Schizosaccharomyces pombe: one gene and its partner. The protein of the gene in region 1 interacts with the protein of each later gene in a biochemical or structural test. Each region holds a gene or a part of one and is shown on either strand. Other genes may lie near its edges.

Region 1 (10,732 bases):
GCACGCCGCTAAGATGCATGAACTGAGCGATGAGTCTTGTGCAGATATTCTTCCCCTTGTCAAAAAGGTGACAAAGGCTATTGGTCCTGAAAATTACAATGTACTTCAAAACAATGGTCGCATTGCTCACCAATTTGTGGATCATGTTCATTTCCATATCATTCCCAAGCCTAACGAAGAATATGGATTAGGAGTAGGCTGGCCCTCTTATCCTATTTCTCCTGAAGAAATAAAGGCATTGGGCGAGGAAATCAGCTCTAAGATTAAATAGTTTTTTTTTGTTCTGTGTGTCTCGTTGAATCGAAACTTTCCTTGACTTGGCGAGAACTATAAGGAAAACATGAGCCCTGTCTTTGTAGAATAGGCTTGTGTTTTTCATGAAAGTCGTTATTGGGTGTTGTTTGACGTTTATGTTTTTTAGAAATGAAAAGTTTGTTTTATACACTTTTACCTACTTGTTTTACCTTTCCAATGTAAGTAGTTGCTGTTATCTTTGCATAGTTTAAGGTGAATAAAGGGATTTTGTTTAGTAGTGTGCATACGGAATGTATGGTACAAATGTTTGGACCTGTTATTCTAGTGATTAGAAAAGGTGTGTTTGAAGAACATTGTTCAAATTGTAGTCTAAGGTCTAAATATTAATCCATGCAGGGTAGTTGGTTTCCTAATATGAGGTTATGAAACTTGCAGACGGAAAGATTAGTAAATGTGCATCAGAGAATGTTTATTTCCAGTATCATATTATTTTATTGATGACCTAGCTTGTTTTTTTTCTTTTAAGAAAATGAAAGACATCTTGCGGCGTCAACTTAAAACTTGATTGTTTGAAGAAATTTTTGCCGGACAGCATTGAAGAATTCTAGTATTTTTAACATGCAAAATTATATTTGAGCCTTTCTATCAGGGTATTGCTAATAATTGATCAAAACCACTGCGATAGTATTTACTTACCCAAAGTAACAATTATTCATCAACCAAGTCACACTTGGTTTATAGTAGCAAGCTATACTGCACGAACAAAACTTTTATAATTGAGAGCGAATTTGTGGAATAGTCAGGCTTGATTTTAATAAATCCCTATTATTATCCTTGATCTCATAAAATTTAAGTTTCTTGGGTTGTGCATTCTTTATAGCACCAATGCCAACTCAGGCTGGTTTTTGTAAATTTGCTGAATTTTCGAACATTTATTAATACAATGGCAATTATTGTGGAAGACGGTTCTTTTATTACATCTTCTCAATGGGAAAATGTAGAGGCATCTCCAAAACCTCCTCCAAGGAAGCCAAAGATTGTTCAACCAAAAAAGAAGCCATCGAAGCACTTGAGCAATGAGGATGCTTTAGAAAAATATGAAATGCTGTTTGGTGAAAGGAGAAAAGAAGTGGAACTAGATTATATGAGCCACATTGCGGAAGAAGAGACTTCGTTGAGCATGATTGAGTATGATCGTCATTTTGCACTTCAAACTGACGTGAAATTGTCAAAGAAAAGAAAATCCAAACTTGTTGAAATGACTCCTAAAGGTTTGAAAAAAAGGAAACGCGTGCAAATACAGGAAGGAAGTGTGTCAACCAATACAAAAAAGCGTATGGACGGTCATGTTGTTGGTTCTAGCGCTCCCGCTATAAATAATGGCAAAGGAAAACAACTTTTAGAAATGATGGGTTGGTCTCGGGGGAAGGGACTTGGTTCTGAAAACCAAGGAATGGTTGATCCGGTTGTGGCTGTTGTAAAAAATAATAAACAGGGTCTTCATTAGTTTTTGACGAGGAGATTTTAAATCCTCATAGTGTATATTTACAAAACATTATTTATTTAGAAGGAAAAATTACTTTTCACCATCATTTTGGGAAAGTTTCTTTTTTATAAAGAATTTTATTTTTGGTTGCTCATCATGATGACTATATAAGAAATAATAATTAAAGGAATTTTACTATATTTTACCGTTGAGGGTACAATCACTTGAAATAATTCAATTTCATAAGTTTTTCATAAAGAGAGCAATAGAAAACTGGTAAGTTGAAAAACAGCTTCTAATTGTTAAAAGGACGGAAATACATATTTGGAAAAGGGGGAAGGAATGAACAATGATGAGTGCATTTACGTTAAAAATGGTTAAGTCGAATAGGTGAAGGACAGACTTATCTTCGAAATGGAAGAAAAAAGGAAAAACAGGATATGAGAAGAGATTCAGTAAGGATTATAAATTTAAGAGAGGAAAAGGCTTCGCATGCGAGTAACATCAAAAGCAAAAAGTGAAAAAAACTGTGTATACCCAGATCGCTGTACTGTAAAGTTTCATTTGGATTCTATTGAATAAAAGCATCAGTTGATCAAACTAAAAAATCGATCAGTTAATATAAACAAAATAAAAAAAAAGAGCATTCTAAACATATTTGAGCGAATGTAATAGAAACGTACTTTTTGGAACTTTGAGTTTCTTACTAGTCATAGCAATTCCACTCAACACAAACAAAACCACAAGCGGGTGAAATGCAAAAGGTGTGTTTCCACACCACTCACCCCAAGGTAGATTTTCATGAGTCTTTCCCTTTAAGATACAAACTCCGCAAACGGTTACTAAGGAGAGGGTGGTAGGAATGGGCGTTCCTTCGAAAAACTGAGACTTGCCAGATCCATCTTTAGGAATGGAATTGACAGAAACATTAAAACGAGCCAATCTAGTTAGACCACACAAAACAAAAAGGGAAAGTATAACGGTATCAAGGAACGTTTGGAATCCACAACAAAAGGCAAAGACGGCTGGAGATACGCCAAATGAAATCTATTTTGTTAGTATAATGATATAAAAAGACCGGATAAGAGAGAGAAAAAATATATATAATCAAGAATTATACGCAATCGCATGTTTATTGAGAAAAATTCAGACTCATTGAACAAACCGACATAATGTAAAAAACGAGAAGCAAAAAAAAAAAGCTCGACTTAGCTAAAATGAAGAAAAAATTCAACCAAAGAAGCCTCTTATCATGTTCCTCGTGTTTTTATCATGTCAAAGCAACCAATGTGAAAATAGTCTCGGAACAGATTTGAGAAGTTATACATACCAGATCAGCAAGACTATCCAATTCCTGACCCATTAAGGAAGATTTCCCACGCCAACGAGCCACTTTACCATCCAAAAAGTCAAAAAACAACGCAAATGGCATAAAGTACATTGCATTCCATAAATGGAAAGCTGATTGCTGTCCGCTTAGGCAGTAACGTAAACTTGAAAATATACTCATGACACCGCAAAACCCGTTCATTAAAGTAATCAAGTCTGCAAGGTGGAGGGCTCTACAATCCTCTAGTTAGTATTTCAAGTAATGAATCCTTTTGCAAAGTCCTTTCGCAATGGTGTAAACAAGAATACGTAAATCATACCTAATGAGTGAAAAATGTCTATTATCATTTACGTAGGCCAGTAACTTGTTCTCTTTATCATTGCTTTGGTTTGATGCATCGGATTGTAATTTCAATCCAGGAGAAACTCGTGATCTAACCATCTTCCAAAATTGGCAGTTTCTGGTTCTAATTGTACCTGTTTATTTACCGGAAGTCGAATAACTAACAAAAATAAGGCACCGCAGGGTATCGTTATGGTTGTGATTGAGAATTGTCTAGAAATGCTTAGCGATCCAGGCTTTGGAATTCTTATCAATCTTTTAATGTTTATTTATTAGCATCGTTAAAACAGCATTGTGCGTTCTGTTATTTGAATAAAAGTCGAAAAAGCTAATCAATGAATATAAAACGAGCGAAGTGTTTAAACTATTTTCCAAGCTAAATATGGTGGTTTGTGGTTTTGAATTACATGAAGAAAATAAGAAGAGGGAACGTACCACCGCTGATAGGGGATGCGGCAATTTGTTGTATGATCCAGATATGTGTGCATAAGGCAGTAGAAGGCATCGAAGCAAGATGATTAAAAACCGAGTAATGAATGACCTTTGACAGTGTATATAGTACGTCTCATTTAAAATTCCAAGTTGGACCCAACTCAAAAAGAAACAAATATCACGATCACATTAAGGGCCATTTTTCATCTAACTTTCTATTGTTATTCGACTGGCAAAAAATTGGGCTGTTGTGGGAATCGAACCCACGACCACCATCACCCTAAGATGGTATCATACCACTAGACCAAACGGCCACTATTGTTAAGTAAAAAATTTTATTATATAGAAAGTAAACATGAACTAGCTTATGTTTTTTTTGGAGCTTTTAGCATTGAACAGTACTTTGGTATGCACTATTTATGTAAATACTAGCAAGACCTTGAATTAAAACAGAATGTATTTCCTTTAAATTTTCTATTATTCATAGCTTGATAGTTAAGAACATTCATAACTAACTAAATATGGATTCCTATAATTTTATGTTCTACTATTTAATCTGGTAACAAAGCATCGAATGCGCACTTTTGAGTATTGTTTTAAACTTTTCAAACATCAACTTAAACACTCTGTTTTTTTTTGTACAATTTCTCTTAATAAGATAAAGTTAGATAACATCTTCTGTTCAGTTAAACTTTGAATCGTTTACAAGTACATGCTCATCGTTAACAGAAACCCGAAGAGTTTGGTAAGAGGATATTGTAAAAAAGATATTGTACTTCGTAATTTAGATGGTTGGCTATTTGATATGATCACAATTTCAACCATTTTTAAACTCTACAATCAAATTTGTTCACTTTCCTCCACTGACCGAAAAAAAACCTCAATATCTAATAAACTGCAGCAGGAATTTTGCATTATGGATATAAACAAAGTTGGCAGAAATTTTATTTCTTTAGGAAAAATACGATCAAGTAAGAGGAGAAACGCTATTTTGTCATACCAAACGATCATTAGTTCATTCCCTCATAATCATGTACAAAAACTTTTTCAAAGAACTCAATCAACAAATATGATTTATACCAAGTTAGAATATTTCGGTCATTCTTTGTTCTTTTATTTTACGGCATTTACGCTCTCGTTCAAGGATAGAAAAATCTTAATGCAAGCCGATGTATTTTTTAGACTAAAGCTCGTATTCAAGATAGCATTCTTTTTCACTCAAACAACTTTTTTAAATAAAAAAGAAAATAGGGAATTGTAGGTTTATGGATCATCAAACAAAGGAATACAGTAAACGGACTGCAGCAAAACTAAAGGTTTTTTAGAAAAAAAAAAGATGCATATTTTGTTCACTGAAAAAAAGTAATTTTAAAAGCGTTTTTGCTTAATTAGAAGGAGGTGAATAATCTTGTTTGTGCGCTTCCTTAATGTTTTCCGGGGATGACTCGTGATGAAGTTCTTTAAGCGCTTTTTGAATATCGGAAGAAATTGTTTCCAGCTGTTTTGACCGCATGTCGTACGAATAGATTACTTTGTTGTTTGAGATAATGGAAAATGTTGGAGTTTGATCGTTCGGTAAACGGTGATTAACGTTAAACTTCAAGCCGTAATTGTTGTAATACAATGAAGGAAGACATTCTTTTACAAATTTTCTAGAATTTAAAACGTTAGCAATGAACAACGCATGAAACGGAATCGTAGATCAGTGCTTCCTCACACAAAGTATTATCAAGCAGTTATTTGAGAGAATTAAACATGAATTGAGCATAAAATGTTTGAGGTACCAGTACATAGACAACATCGATGATTCTAACACGAATAAACAAAACTTACTTAGCACCCATATGTCCCAAACGGCTGTCTAAAGAATATTGAATAGATACTTCCTGAATATGTTTTGGTAAAGGAATCCCTAAAGCTCCAGCACGAATCTTGTGCAAAGATTTTTGTAATTTACCGCCTATGCTAGACATGGCGAAAATGTAAAGTTGTAGTAATAATCAGCCAAACAAAAATGAAAGAGTTTGAAACAATATGTTTTTATTCAAATATTCTGTCGGGATGAACAGAGAATATAAATATTAATGAATTAAGCCTAATGCCGTAGATTCGTACTCTCTTGTCAATTGTTGCTTGCTCTCTTTAAAAGCGAGTTCCTTGATCTCGCATTTAACGTAGTTTAGTGTGTCCTTATGCTAAATAAGGGATCACCTAACAGTGCGGAATGGGAGAAATGAGTATGAAATTCTGCAACAAGCATAGACCAAACGACACATTCTCATTATGGATTCAGAAACGCATATTACGATACGAAATATAAGTAAAAACTCGGTGGATTTTGTCCTTACAAATACAAGTTTGGCGTAAGTGAAAAGCTCTAGGAAATTCCTTCTAATAGTTGAAAGAGTTGCAAACTCGCTGCGACGTGTTGTACTTGCAGAGATTCCAACAGTGGGTAAGATTTAGGTTCATTCTTGAATTAAATACTAATGATGTTTTAGCCATTGACCTAGTTGAAATTAATGTGAATACCTCAGTCATGCCTGATGAGTTTCTAGCACATCGTCTTGGTATGATACCTCTGGATAGCTCCAACATCGATGAACCGCCTCCAGTAGGTTTGGAATATACGCGCAATTGCGATTGCGATCAGTATTGTCCCAAGTGTTCAGTCGAGTTGTTCCTAAATGCCAAATGTACTGGTGAGGGTACGATGGAAATTTATGCTAGAGATCTTGTTGTTTCTTCTAACTCTTCTCTTGGACACCCTATTCTCGCCGATCCAAAATCACGCGGACCGCTTATTTGCAAACTCAGAAAAGAGCAGGAAATTTCTCTGCGTTGCATTGCCAAGAAGGGTATAGCTAAAGAACATGCTAAGTGGTCACCTACTTCAGCTGTTGCATTTGAATACGATCCATGGAACAAGTTACAGCATACTGATTACTGGTTTGAGAATGATGCAGATGCAGAGTGGCCAAAAAGCAAAAATGCCGATTGGGAAGAACCACCGCGGGAAGGCGAACCATTCAACTTCCAAGAGGAACCGCGTCGGTTTTATATGGATGTCGAAAGTGTCGGTTCTATACCACCCAATGAAATAATGGTTCAAGGTTTACGAATTCTTCAGGAAAAGCTTGCAGTTTTAGTTCGTGATCTCGACGAAGAGCAGCCTACTCAACTTTCTGCTAACGAACTGAATATGGAGGAGAATGCAGAAATGAACTGGTCTCCCTATCAAAATGGTGAAGAAAACACGTGGTAGACTATGCTTCAATTCTTTTCTAAAAATTATCCATTTTCATCCTTTATATGTTTGTTGTTATAAAAAATACTCTAGATGCGTTTTTTTAATCATCTAAAAGTTTTTAATTTATGGCCTGCGTCCGTTCATGTCATACCTTACACATTTTTATCTAATCCTTTTTTTTTTGGCTTTTGGCTACAACATATTGTACGTATTGATATGCATATATAGAGATATATATTCCTCCCTCATATCATAATTTTGTTCTTCTTCACTTGGATTTATTATAGCTTTAGATAATTTCGTGAAAGAGAACACTTTCGGAATTGTCGTTTTGATATCTTTTTAATTTTCGGTGATTGCCTCTTGAACTCTTTGTTGGAAAGTTTATATCGGCTCACCATGCTCACAATGAATAGACAAAGTTGCTACAAGTGGACAACGAGATTACAGAATACAATTTTTTATAACGATGTTTTATTCGTTTACCAAAAATAAAGACAACAAAAAAGTTTTTAAAAACCTCAACACTTTAAAATAACATGTACAACGAGAACCGAAAGCGTCTCCTTTACTTTTATGCTGAAGAGTTTTCTTCTTCAGCGTATAATTTTTCGGTTTCCTCAATTGCAGTAACATTTGAACGTAGTTTGTTTAAAGTTTCCACGTACTCATCTTGTTCATCTGAATCAAACACAATACCACCACCGGCTTGCAAATAAACAGTTCCGTCTTTATAAACCATTGTACGGATTGCTATACAAGTATCCATGTTGTCATCTTCATAGCCCCAACGACCTACGGCTCCCGCGTATATACCACGCTTTTCTTTCTCTAATCCATAAACGAGCTGAATTGCACGGACTTTGGGAGACCCACTGACCGTTCCAGCCGGAAATATACTACGGAATGCATCAAAACGAGTTTTATCAGGTCTCAGAACACCAGAAACTTGAGAAACAAGATGCTGAACATGAGAAAACTTTTCAATAGTCATCAACTTGTCAACACTTGTTGTGTCGAGATCACAGACACGACTGACATCGTTTCTTGCCAAGTCCACCAGCATTACATGTTCAGCTCTATCCTTGACACTAGCAAGTAAATCCTTGGCATATGCCTCATCCTCTTCTTTAGTTTTTCCTCTTGGAACAGTTCCGGCAATGGGATGATTGATAATACGCCCATGCTCTGATTTAACCAGTAATTCAGGGGAAGCACCGATTATGTCGAAATCATCACAGTGGATGTAGAACATATAAGGGGACGGGTTAACTGTTCTTAAATGGCGGTACAAATTAAAAGGATGTAAATCTGTACGCCTAGCAATCCGTTGGCTTGGGACAGCTTGGAAAATATCGCCATTAAAGATATGTTCCTTGAGGTTGGAAACAAATGCTTTATACCCGTCTTCGCCTACATTTGACTTAGCTTCGTATCCTAAATGGACCTTCTTTTGCTCAGGCAAAGGAATTTCAGGACTTTCAAGTTTCTTTTTAAGCATATTGATTTTGAAAACGGCAGCTTCGTAAGCCTCTTCAATGGGTCGGCCTTGCTGAATGCAAACATGAGAAATTATCTTGACAGTCTGATAAGCATGATCGAAAGCGACTAAATCGTCGGTCATGAAAAACATAGCCTCCGGAAGACCCAAGGTATCTTCTAAAGGCATTTCAGTAGTGGGTTCAAAATATTTGATGCAATCATAAGAAACATAGCCCACAGCACCTCCACTGAAAGATGGCAGACCCTCAACAGGGGCTGTTTTAACTTCTTTCAACTCACGTTCTAAACGTGCCAAAGGATCTGTTTTTCCATTGGCCATTAATATTCTATAAGGGCTGCCAATAAAACTGTATCTTGAGACACTCTCTCCTTGAGTGACACTTTCTAAAATAAACGAATACTTCTTTCCTTGATTAAGCTTCAAGTAGGCTACTGAAGGAGTCAGCATATCGGCAGGGATTACTCCATAAATGGGAATCTTGTTAGCCTTGTGCTTTTCAGCAAGCTCTTGAACTTGTTTCAAGTCAGGATAAATCTAAAATAGTATTAGTATCATGTATTAATTTTAAGCTTCATAGCCCTAGAAACGGCGACTTTTACAGTTAAAAGCAATACAACAAAGGAAAGACCCAATCCTAAACTCGTCAATATATCCCAATACTACTATTTATTTTCCATAGGTTGGGTCTCCTTGTTAGAACAAAAAAAATCAAATTACCTTCATCTTATTGACAAGTCTATACTCGAATAAGTGCAAATTCAATAGCAAACCAAAAAAATCCCTTAAACTTGAACCGATCTATTTCCAGAAAGACAAGCAATTCCAAATTTTTCTGTAAGCGAAGAAAGAAAACAAAAGAACCAATTAATTCAACAACGTAAAGCTGCTGGAAGAAGACAACTTGTGAAAGTTGGAAAATTCATCTAAATTAGATGAAAAATATAACGGATGCGTTGGAAAACGTTATATGGTTAAATGTAAATAAAAGACTGGAAATAGGAATTAGGAAGTTATATTTAACTGCGGACAAACCGATAAAAGTATTTTGTTTTAGGATAAGATTTATTTTTTTCCTAAGCTCTTAGGCAAATTCTTAAAATGGCCAAAGTTTCGTCGAACATAAACTGCAATCTAGTTAAGATCTTGATTTCTTTTTTTTTTATTTTATTTATCTAGTCTCCTTGGTTTGATTTAAAAATGTTAAAAATAAAAGGCATTCGTTTAGATGAAAAGGGTGTGTATGTTAGCTAGAAAGTTGCAGACCTGAATAGAGGAGAAGACACTGTGTAAAAGTCCTCTACAAAATCTATGAAATTTCGTGAATCATGCGCTTATAATATTCAGAAATTGAAAAGAGGAACAACGATTATAACGAAAGAGAACTAAGAGGATTTAGGCGTTGGAATTGGTATAAGAGAATACATGACTCGCTATTAGGGCAATTCAGAATAATGTTATATTTATGCTAACAAATTTATAAATTTAATAGAGTCGACTACCCTTAGGATTTGAAGTGCGTCTTATACCGAAACGATCGAAGTGAATTAAAGTGATTGCTTGTTTAAGTGCAATTGAACAGTCAAGGCTAGTCATCTATAAATCTGAACAGTTCAACTTAATAAGCAAAAAGTAATGTTATTCGATCAAGGATTTTTCGTCTTGTGAATGATCTTGCAAGTTAATAAAAACGGAGATGAAACTCTCGAACGTATAAAAACAATCAATCGCTGGTTAAATTCAATCTTTTAGCAAAAAAGGATTTTAATTGTATAATGTATTCAATCGGGAAAAGCAAAAGAGGGTCTTTCACGCGGCACTATTTTTTTGCCTGAAAATAAATAAGTAAATAGAACAGTATCCTAAAAACAGTTTATTCAAATCCTTTTTAAACGAGTATAGGAATCTTGTTTGTTATATATTGGATCTCTGTCAGTTCAAATTCATGTTATTAAGTAGAATAAATACCTCTTTCACTTCACTCAATAAACGCAGATGCAAAAAGAAAATAGGAAAAATAGTATAGGATAAAGGTAAGATCGCACTGTTATTAAACAGTTATTTTACTTCTACAGTGTTGATTCCTCATGATTTCAAGTTAAGATATTGTCGTACAAAATCCCGATTCGGGGAATT
Region 2 (3,473 bases), on another chromosome or scaffold:
TTTGGATAGCAAACAAGGAGTTCTTTATCTTCGTATAACTCTGAGCCCAAAATGGGTCCTTCGTTCCAAACGCGCCGGAAATTCTTCTCTTGTCGAAGGAATTCTTGGACAGACTGCTTCGATTGTTGGTATGCCTCTTAAAGGCATTAGTACTGTAGGTAATGTTGCTGTTGATGGGGTTGCCTCGGTGGCTAACCTTACGAACAAAATGCGAAAAGGAATAAGCCGTGGTTTTAAAGGAATTCATCACGAGAAGGCAAAGTGACTTTCCATTCTGTTATTTATTAGTTCTTTATTACAATTCGGTTTTCGCATTCTGACTTATTTGAGTAATATATTATCATTATGTTAAATGCATACTTTGATTATAAGGTATTTGAATATTTTCATGGTTTTCTATTTACCGAAGAACGATAAAGACTTATGCACTCCTAATAGATAAAATGCTAGCCCAAGATTGTATTCATAAGGAAATCGTCGATTGATATTGCGATTATATACAATAATTAGGGAAATTCTATTGTTGTGTAAAGGGTATATAAAGTTAAAATTTTTTTTTAAAGATATTGCGCAGCTTTTAGCCATAACATTACCACAGAATAGAGCCAAAATTTAGATCGATAAACGTTGGTATGCGCTTTTACAACTACATGAATAAACTTTGAGACCTAGAAAGGAACTTAATAATAACAGTATACGCGATGGTTAGCATTGAATTAATGAACATGAGAAATAAAAGACAAATTAAAATTTTATCTTTTTAAAGAACGCCTAGATAATCCTCTTTCATTGTTGCAATGGCAAACTAGATATTATGTTAGTAACACGATTAATTAAGCAAAATAAATATTGTGAACTATTGGGAAACTTACAATTTCGGTTGCATCAGTCCTTGTACCGACAATCTTAAGTCTGACATTCGACCCCTTTTCAATAACTTGATCCTCACCAGAATAATTAGGAGGGTTTGCAGTAGGGTCAAACTTCATATCTGGAGGCACCAAATGAGATGAGACAAAGACATTTAATGGTCCTATATTTGCGAAGAATCCCATTTTATTTACTGTTGTAACAATTGCATCGACCACTTCCCCACGAAATGGTCTCCATAACACTGCACGATACTTTACCTCAAATTCGGCAAACCCTTGCCCAGGAACTACCCTCCCTTTATCAATATCTATAGTATTACTGTCCAAAACGCAAATTATATAGCCATATTGACCTGAGCATGTGCCTTCCACGTCCGCCAACAATTTTGCCTTTAAATAGTCCTGCATTCTAGGACCGAAGTAACTGGGATGCAGAGAAATCGTTAACGAAAGCTCTTTGAGGAAGAAAGGCATTGTATCGATAAGTTAATGCAGAAAAGCCCCAATTCAACTCGATCGGTCGATGCGTATTAAAACTGTAAAATTTTGGTTCAAAATAGGGCAAAAATGATGAACATTAAAAAAAAAAACTTTAAATGAGCTTAGCTCTTTTTATTAAATTAAATTATCCCAATTTTTCAGCGGTTTTCGCAATTGCTTGATATATGCTGAGCGTTCGAGGATTTACGAAGTCCCAGTATCATGGGATAGCGCTTATAGAAATATCCCAAATTTTATATGCCTTTCACCTTGCTACTGAGAAGGATTTTAACAAGTGAATATTATTTTATCTCTAATAAGCATCTATTACGTCCTATAAAAAGCTCACTTACACTATTCCAAATTAATAAATCAAATATGCCAAGAATGAATCAATCATTGAGTCTATGTAAAATATTCATAACAAGTAATCAAATTGAAAATGGTGATAAATATTGTATACTGACCGAAGAAAATTGACATCCTTGCCCATCAGTGAGTAATGCAATTACTCATCAGTTTGTTCAAATGAATATTTATCTAAGCTTGTACAGATAAGTAGGTGTAACCCACTTATATAATTGTTCTTAATTACGAAGAACAATTTCCTTCGGCTTGTTGTCACGGAAGTATTTTTTCATAAGCTCTTCAATAATCCAACAAGCCGCGTAATCTACAACCATTGTGGCTAACAGTTGTATCTGGAAATTATAAGCCATTTTAACTAACTGAAGTTTTGCGTTGAGTTCAGGCGAAAACTCAGTTACACCAGCAATAGCGACAAAGGCAATGCCCAAAAGGCCATAGTACATTCCTTTATTTTCACTTAAAGCTTCACGGAAAGGACGGCCCTGATAATTGATAGCAAACGTTGAGACTTGTTGAATAAGTTGAAGCAAATAAATGGCAGTATTCAACAAAGAAGGCTTGAAGGTTTCTTCTAAATCCACCTTTTCTAAAGGATCCTCATACAGATAAACGACACGAGTTATATAGATAAGGGTAACGATATGAATAGCAAACTGACCTAAAACAGAACCAATTATGTAAGTGTTAAAAATTCCAGCTTGAGGCCTTTCTTTTGAAAGAGTTTCAAGTGGACGAGCCCGTGAAACACAGTAAAAACAAACAGACATTAACATTCCCGAAATAGTGTATTGAGTATCACCAAATTTAATTCCATCCAGATGAAGTACTGACAACGAGTAAGCAGTGATCAAACAGTTGAGAGCCAAAATCTTATGCATTTGAACGAGGGCAACTAAAGTACAACGACCTTGACGCACAATGTTGGTTATCGAAGAAACTACAGCTAATTTAGAAGTAAATGGTGCAGCAACAGAAGCGTCTCCTAGCTTAAGTTTCGGTGCCTCATCATCAGAAGCGTTTGCTAAAGTGTCAAACATCTTGTTAGCCAGATTTGCCCGTCTTTCAGCAGCTTTCTCAGCTTCCGTTAATTGAACATCACTAGCTTTCTTAGTTTCCAAATCTTCCAGGACCTTATTTAAGCCTTCTTGAGTCTTTTCACGATGAGGGTTGTTAGGACCAGGAGGGAAAGCATGGCAAAGTGCAGGTGGAACAGGAGGAGTTGGAAGATTAAATCTTTTAGCAAGTTGAATTTGCTTTTCATAAACGCCCATCAACTTCTGATTACGAGCTCTCTCTTGCATTTCAAGCATATCTTCTTCCGAAGCATTTAATAAAGCTACACCAACGTGTGCTTGTTTAAGAGCACCCACATCATTGGTACCATCACCACACATAAGAGTTATATATCCATTGTGTTTCAAAGTTGAGATCATGAATTCTTTTTGAGAAGGAGAAACACGCGCATAAACCCAAGCGTGAGTAAAAATTGACATAATAACGTCCGGATTGATAATTTGAGACAAAGCACGACCGGTAATACAAAGATCATACTTTTCGTACAACGAAGCTTCCAACGATTTATGAGGATTCATGGGTAAATTGATTGTATCATCTGTGCTCTTCCACTCTAAAATCTTTTCATTCTCATGCTTAATATCCAATACGAGGGTTGGCTTTTCAACAATACCAACTTGTTCAGCTACATATACGGCGGTCAGAGGATTGTCACCAGTTATCATCATGCAACGATGC

What was found. The genes of interacting proteins can lie anywhere in the genome.
Region 2: the proteins of rpb3 (region 1) and rpb7 form a complex in vitro, tested with the Schizosaccharomyces pombe proteins (one study listed by BioGRID).

What each region holds. Positions count from the first base shown.
Region 1 is NC_003421.2:1,782,376-1,793,107, reverse strand, and holds rpb3 (DNA-directed RNA polymerase II complex subunit Rpb3), read left to right. Parts: upstream 1-6,109; 5' UTR 6,110-6,128; coding exon 6,129-6,208; exon of another isoform or gene 6,209-6,250; coding exon 6,251-6,300; exon of another isoform or gene 6,301-6,346; coding exon 6,347-7,110; 3' UTR 7,111-7,669; coding exon of another isoform or gene 7,670-9,133; 3' UTR 9,134-9,316; coding exon of another isoform or gene 9,317-9,322; 3' UTR 9,323-10,211; downstream 10,212-10,732. Other genes in the region: hnt1 (adenosine 5'-monophosphoramidase), read left to right, coding at 1-271; sqs2 (G-patch type RNA-binding protein), read left to right, coding at 1,199-1,762; CDP-diacylglycerol-serine O-phosphatidyltransferase Pps1, read right to left, coding at 2,337-2,341, 2,425-2,788, 3,072-3,303, 3,391-3,512; SPOM_SPCC1442.11C (uncharacterized protein), read left to right, coding at 4,558-5,106; mrp49 (mitochondrial 54S ribosomal protein mL61), read right to left, coding at 5,230-5,497, 5,679-5,818; trp3 (anthranilate synthase component I), read right to left, coding at 7,670-9,133, 9,317-9,322. UniProt on the Schizosaccharomyces pombe protein: DNA-dependent RNA polymerase catalyzes the transcription of DNA into RNA using the four ribonucleoside triphosphates as substrates. Component of RNA polymerase II which synthesizes mRNA precursors and many functional non-coding RNAs.
Region 2 is NC_003424.3:2,900,161-2,903,633, reverse strand, and holds rpb7 (DNA-directed RNA polymerase complex II subunit Rpb7), read right to left. Parts: upstream 1,551-3,473; 5' UTR 1,347-1,550; coding exon 873-1,346; exon of another isoform or gene 806-872; coding exon 761-805; 3' UTR 501-760; downstream 1-500. Other genes in the region: tcb3 (tricalbin), read left to right, coding at 1-265; P-type calcium transport ATPase Cta4, read right to left, coding at 1,940-3,473.